2 linked regions of the Drosophila melanogaster genome follow. The protein of the gene in region 2 interacts with the protein of the main gene of each other region in a pairwise test. Each region holds a gene or a part of one and is shown on either strand. Other genes may lie near its edges.

Evidence for each region. Proteins that work in one complex are often made in the same cells at the same time.
Region 1: the proteins of CG12017 (region 2) and cpo interact in a two-hybrid assay, tested with the Drosophila melanogaster proteins (one large-scale study listed by BioGRID).

Annotation. Positions count from the first base shown.
Region 1 is NT_033777.3:17,917,869-17,921,625, reverse strand, and holds the start of cpo (couch potato), read right to left. Parts: upstream 1,795-3,757; 5' UTR 157-1,794; intron 1-156. UniProt on the Drosophila melanogaster protein: May play a role in the development or function of the peripheral nervous system by regulating the processing of nervous system-specific transcripts.
Region 2 is NT_037436.4:3,278,197-3,281,953, reverse strand, and holds the start of CG12017 (uncharacterized protein), read right to left. Parts: upstream 1,716-3,757; 5' UTR 1,393-1,715; coding exon 1,236-1,392; intron 1-1,235.

The DNA of each region.
Region 1 (3,757 bases), on a different chromosome or scaffold from region 2:
GTTACCGTTGACTAATGCACGGAAACATCATAGCAAAATGTTATATTCTGTTTCTAATTAATATTAATATATCGTTTCAGATGACACAATCCTTTACGTTTATTCCACAGAAGCCCACCATTTTCAGTTAATGGTTTCATTATTGTGAAAACTTACCTTTTAAGAACTTTAGTTATTTTTCAATCCGTCGTCTGGAATTCAATGAAGTCTTCTCGTCATTTGCAATTGGTCCGCTTGATAAAGTAATTAATATTTTCGCGTAGCATTCATAAACACGCAGTCTAATTTAATTGATATGTTTTCTAGTCGTTATAGTTTTAGACTTTTGCTGAGGCTTCCTCAATGATATGTGACAATATTGTTGTATGTATATATCTCTCTCTTGTTATATTCGAGACAACTAATGTAAAACTTCTAACAAAAATTACTGTTCTTTTGGATTTTCTAAGGTAACTAGATCTTAGATAATTGTAAATTTAATATTTATATTTGCTCTTTGCAAGAGCTTTGATATGTATGCGATAATTTGCACAACTCTCCTTAGGCTAGTTCATTTGTTTTGTTTTTTATTTTGTTGATAAGATAAAAAAGCTTGATTAGGGATTCAGCAAGCTTTTTAGGCGTTTTACATGATATGTTTACGTTTCCATTCGTAGATTTTTTTAATTTCTTGAATTACATTTCTTTTAAATGTGCTAATTTAATATACTTTTCATATTTCACCTTTTGGCATTAAACGATTTACATGATATGTATGGTTATCGCATTGGTTTCTATTCTTTTAAGACAATAAAATATCGTTTTGGTTTTTAGGTAATTGCTGGAATTATTTAGCTGCTTGTCTCAGCTTTTTTTGTTGTTGTATATTTAGTTATTTAATATTTTCTATAGACTATAGAATGATATGTGTTGATATGAGTCTTTTCTTTTAAGTTACATTTCTAAAATATATTTATCGTGCGTTTTTTTTTTATTTTGTCAGCATTCTCTTAAGGGCTTAACTTTTGTTTATAAATTTTCCATCCACTGTGAATGTCTTCCACAAAATTGCGATGTTGTCTCTTGGACTTTCTCTTCCGACTCTGGCTCTCTTTCGCAGTAATGGCTGCTTTCTCTTACTCCTCGAGCCCCCTTTCTCCAACTCCGCGACCTCCTCCGCGCTTTCTTCCTCTCGCTCTCTTTTTGCCCACGCTCCTTCTCCACCCCCTTCTCTTTGCTTTCACAGGCGGCAACGGCAGCGGCAGTTTCTCTATGTATTCGTTTTTTTTTCCTGCCGTTGTATTTCAGTAACTTTTTCCGATTCCGCTTTGGGCCCGCATTCGCTTTCACCGAAAAAAACCGTAGGCGAACAAACAACAACAACTCGGGTTGGAAATTATTTATTCAAGTCAATTAAGTTTTTATGCCCGGGAATTTGTCGATTTTCGGTAATTATCTCTGGCGCAGATTGGGTTAATCCGTATATCCTGGAAGATATATGTAGATAGATATATCCTCTTTGCCGCTGCCGTTGGACGGCCCACACCCGTAAAAATAGCAAAGCAATGGAAATTATACAATCACTGGCTGCGAATTCGAAACAATAAATTTTTGGTGGCACTCGCGTTTCGAAGAATTTCTCGATTTGGCTTCGGAATAAGTTGGCTGCGCCCTGCGGGGTATGCAGCGTTTTATTTATCGCACAATTTCAGATATTGGTCTCAATTTGGCTATATTTTTCGGGGTTTTCACTATATATATCGCTGGCCTCTGTGTTCGCTGCGTGTGACTGAGTCGGAGTGTTTTCGTTTACTCAGGAGCCAGCGCAGGATGCGTGCGATGCCAGGCCATGAATTTTTCATCATCGGGCATCCTTATTAGAGATTTTCGCCCCATCTCGTTGAGATTGCTGCGCGCAGATCCAAAAAGCATCCAAGAGAGCGTAGAAAAGAGCGAACGGAAGTCCTGCGAGAGCGCCCACACACACGCACACATTTGTTATTAAGTGCTTGTTGTGGGTGGTGCATCTCCTTAATATTAACCCCCCGCCTGAAATAAAATTCTCAATTTTCCCTGGCCCTTGCATTTCGTTCAAGGCCCATCATAATCTCATTCAGGTATTTTTCCTGAATTTTTTCCTTGCTTTTTCGGGGGTTGTTTGGCTGTCTTCCATTTGGTGGGGGTCCGTGTTTTACGGCAAGGGGCGGCTTTTTGGGGGTGGCTTTATCTTTATCTGTTTGTTTTTCGCTCTCTTGTCGCTTATATAGCTTTCACATTGTCTGCCTTAATGGTCTTGTCACTTTGACATATCCCGTAGAAGAGCGAAAGATAGAAAGCGTATTAATTCTGCGCAGGTTTTTAGAGAAGACGAAAGGCGTACTTTGGTACAATGGTAGCTGAATCGGCTAAATTTATGACTATTTCCGGTGGTTGCCTTGGCTAATACAGCGAAGTTTCTAATTCGCCGCACAATTGAATTGTAGTGGCGCGCCGGCAGGTGTCGCTTTAGTTGTAGATGTAGATTTTCAAAAATATGTATATTTTTCTATTAAAATAAATACGTATTAAAATCATTGTTGTAAAATAAATTTAAAGAATTTTTTTTTAATTTCAATTAAATCACATACTTTTTTTTAATTAAATTTATATGACAGAGGTAGAAGTTTTTTAAAAACACCCTTTCGAACAAATATGCATTTTGTTTGTGATGTAGCACAATATTTTGTTATGATAACCAATGCCTTAAGTAATTATAATTTTTTTTTAAAATATGTTATAATTCAACTTAAATTTAAATTTGTGCTCATCCAAAACCAGGCAGTCTTTAATTGCCTGTGCAAATAGACCTAATTTCCATAGCTTTCACCAGGCAACAAAAATAACAAAATCAGCCATAACGATTGTTTGACAAACAATAATAGAAAAATCAAAATACATCAGGTTTATATGTGTACACTTATATAAACAGCCTGATTACGCAGTTGAGCTTGCAAACAATAAATTAAATTACACCATAATACGTTTGTGGGCTTTCACTTGTATTTGAAGTGCTTTTATTCACGTGCAGCTTGAAATCAACTAAAGTTAACTCTTAGAAATTGTAAAGCATCTCTTCCTTGTAATTACCTTACAACACAGCATTCGCTGGCCCCAAGAAATTCTTGTCAAAAACTTCCTTCGAGAAAGCCCCCTTTGCAGTCTCTCTCTCTCTCTCTTTAATTGCGCATTTCGACTTTTCTTGGATGACATCTGTTGGCCTTCCTGCCCTGCGTCCTAGCCCAAGTATGTTTTCTTCTTGTTTTTTCTTTTTTTTTTTTGGTTAAAATGAAAATCAATAAAAAGCTCAATGACGTCAGCCGCCCAGACACACACACAAACGCACACACACGCACACTTACAAAGTAAGCGGCAACATCGGAAAATGCTGGCGGCCAAATACAGCTCCTGGCACTCCCAGACTCCACCTGCCACTCCCCCCGCCCACGTAGCTTGCTCTCATCTCCGCCGGAAATCCAATCGCTCCCCTTCGTGTGCCAGTGTGTGTGTGTGCCGGCGACTGTGCGAGTGTTGCGGGTGTGCGAGTGTTGCGAGCCGAAGACACTGCACGTGAGCAGGCTATCAGCAATGGAATAAGAGTTTCGACAGCCAGAAACGCGTTTATCTTTCTGTTTTCAGCTGTCATACGCTGAGAACAAATTTGTAGTTGAATTAAGACAAACTAAAGTAATATTCTATTAATTAAATGGTTTTTAGTATTATAATAAAAATATTTTTAATT
Region 2 (3,757 bases):
CTTGTTGCCTCGCCTTTGCTAATTTTTTTTTTTTTTTTTTTTTTTAATTTTTATTATTTATTGAATCTTCCCTTTGTGTTAAGAGACTAACAATAAGTGTTCAAATCTTAATCTAACTTAATTAACTTTCACTTAGTGATAGTTTTTTTTTTTCATTAATGCCCTAATAAGTTTATTGCTGGGCTGGGAGGTCGTTGCGGTGCAGCCGGCTTTGACTGCATACTCGGATTAGTTTTCTTGCGAGGGGATTTGTATGGGTGGTCAGCTTTTCGTTATACTTCGTTTTTTTCTCAGCTATTACTTCGATTACTAATTTGATTTTTAGGTCTCTGTGTATGTTTTCGTTCCGAAGGTACCACGGCGCTCCAGTGATAATTCTCAGAATTCTTGACTGTGCTCGCTGAATAATGTCTATGTTACTTCTGGATGCGTTGCCCCACAGCTCGGAGCCGTTTCCTTTGCTAATTGTTCGCCATGCACTCGAGACTTTGTAGTGGCTTGAAACAAAGCTGAACAGCAGCGGCCACGAAAAAAGTGTCGTACGCTCCACAACGTAACAGAACCAAATTGGTAAGAACCAAGTCGCATGCAAGCTACTTTGTTATGCTGCATTGCCCATCGAAGTCACCTGATTGACAGCTCATAAAAACATTAGGGGAAATTAAGATTTCAATAGGGTTTTCGTGTGCCATTAATCATTTTTCTGTTAAACCACCAAAATTTCTAAACAATATGTTAGATAGTTCCGAATAATATAATGTTTTCTCATTAGTATTTGGTACTAAAAGTGGGTGTGCAATACATATATTCTTAAAATATATTTTCACTGCAACTATTTATGATCTTTTTCCCCAGATGGAGGGAGAATCGTGTGCTGGCCAAGATTGATGCCTGTTTTACAGTGACAGCCCTGATGGATCTGCGGCCACTCTGGTGGCTCATAAATCTTGGCGATTCTTTGGCTTCGGTGGCAGTGACAGTGGCGACTTTCGTTTGGCGGCTGGCCGATTATATAATTGCCGAACGCTGAAATCGCCACTCTCACAGGCAGCTTAATGAACTGAAATTTCACTGCAATAAACGTATTTTACTTAGGGCTTTTGTTTATGTTTTGTTTCTTTGTCTGCTGGCTCACAACTCGTTATATTACACCAAAAAAATACGAAATTAAAATACAGAGAAATTTTGGGAGCTGCAAGAGAGTCTCAGCAGCTTTGATTGGAGACCTGTCTTACCATTTAATCGTCGTCCAACTTGCTGGTGTGCTGGCGATAAAGCCAGATCTGAACGATCTGCATGGCGGGCTGGCAAACTCCAGGCTTTGGCCAAAGAAATCTGCGTTGGCAGGAGCAGACAGATGAGGCCTGCTATAACTGCCGGCTGCCAGTCCATTTTGTATAGTTAGTATTGGCCGCCCCTCTCTCCTAATCTTCGATGTGGATTTATATTATATTGTATGTTCACTAGCACCGTTAGATGAAATCGGAAATCTGGAGAAACCAAAGTCAGTAGCACACACACACGTGATTTATATACGTTTATCGGCACGCACAAGAACAACGGCGCTTTGTTCCATTTTCAAATTCTATTTTCCAAAAAACCCGAATCGAAAACCCGCACGAATATTGTTTGTTGTTATGGGTAGGTGATTATGTGGATGCACTGGCTCCTCGGCGATCTGCTCACGACCAAGTTCAAGGTAAGATTAAGCCATGACGCGCATACGTAAGAAGTTTTATACCAAACCGCGACTTAAGAGAGTTGCGATGTGAAAGCGCTCATGGAGCGGCTCTTTGGAAAGTTGGCAGCCGAGGTGGCCAAAAGCGGCTCTCTTCCAACGGCCAGGTAAATTGGTAAGTTGGTAACTTGGCTACCCACCTGGCTATTGACTTGTTGTTGGCCGGTGTGGATTTTAGCAAATGTGCGGCATGCACTGAACAAACGGATCAATTAAGCTGTCCGCTATGCGCATTTTCAGTGTCACACTGAATGCGATACTCCAGGAATTCTCTCGGCAATTCTCTGGTGGTCATATGTAAACCATCGAACTTTGACTTGACCTAAACGCAGGGAGCGAACCGGCAAGTATTGTGTTAGCAACATCTCTTTGTAAACAAAAGGTGCCTTGGGTTTTAAGCTTATCCCCAACAAAGAAGCTTTGATTTTCATTGTTTTTATTTATATTTTATAATAAATCCACTAGTTAGCCTATTTAAATCCTATTAACCTACGATCTATGCTTGTTTTGCACAACTCATTTGCTCATTTATAATCAATTATATCTAAAAAGACCATTAGTGGCCAACAAAAATATAAGTTTTGTTTACTATAAATAAACCAACTCAAATGAAAATCTATTGCAGGCTCAATCATTTTCTATTAAATCAGTAACCAAGTTTTTTTTGCAGATAACTGAATAATCTGCATCAATCCTCAATGAATGCCATGAATAACCCACAAGTCGAACTCTTCTTTTCACTGCCAAGAGTGACATATGAACTCCTGGATATCATTGGAAAGTCGATCGTGAGATGCTAATCCTGTGGCGAAATGCTTATATGGTAGATGCAAATCCTTTATGGGGTCAAGAAGTTGGTTGCTCCATGGAGATTTTCCTCGCAGCAGCAAACAAATTTCAACCCACATGAGTGAGCACACATATATCTTTAACATACCCCTTCATCACTTTTACCTTTTCCCTAACGAAATTCATTAGCACCTCGCGTGTATTGCATCAACAATTTGTTAACCAAATTAAGCAAGTTAAGTTTAGGCAAACTGAAAGACAGTTGCATCATTGATAAATTCTGGCTGAGGAGAGACACGTTTCTTCACCTGTCGAGCAAATGAAAAATGAAAGTTTTTTATCTCTTTACTTAGGTTGTGTCCATAACTGATTTGGATAATTCGCAAACTAATGCTATTTGTGTGTAAGGGCTCGGTCTGCATCACAAGCTGATCTTATAGAGAGTACATATCATGGGACGCCCTCACACAACATTGACACGCACAAAAAGAAAGTTTGCACAATTTATTGATATTTTCTGATTAAAGTGTAAAAAAAAACGAGGTGTGACCGAATCGGGTCCCCAATCCCATTTGGTCAACGCACTCGCACACTGCTCGAATTTTTGATTAGCCCCCGAATTACGAAATTATCCATTGTGAGCGGCGAATTAGCGAAGAATTCGTGATGAACGCTCATTTATACGTATATAAGTAAGTTGGTATATCTCCCCCCCCATATCATATATCAATTTCACTTTCAGCGGACAGGCGACAGGCAATTAAGGAGACATAGGGCTGCCAAAGATGTCGCCAGGGTTGGTTGGTTGTTTGGTTGGCTGCCTCGTCTGGTAGCCATAAGGTAGCTGACATACCCGTTCCCAGGCCATGTCCAATTATCATGTTAGAAAGAGAGTGAGAGCAGCCAGATACGCTGACAGCACGTCCCCAGCCCCCAACTCCCGATACAGGCTCATACATGGGAAGAAATCACTATAATTAATGTCTTTCAAAACTTCCAATTCATATTTTCATAAAGCTTTACATCAACACTTTACATGCCAGATATCGTATTTTAAAAATTAATTGAATGGAAATCACATTTCTTTGCATTTCCAAATGTTGCGATTTTAAAATTACAATATGGCATTTAAGTCAAAGATGAAATGCTTTCAAAACTGGTAGTGCATCTATATACAAACTCAAATACGATATAAAACTCAGGATTTTTTGACTAGATATTAAAAAACAA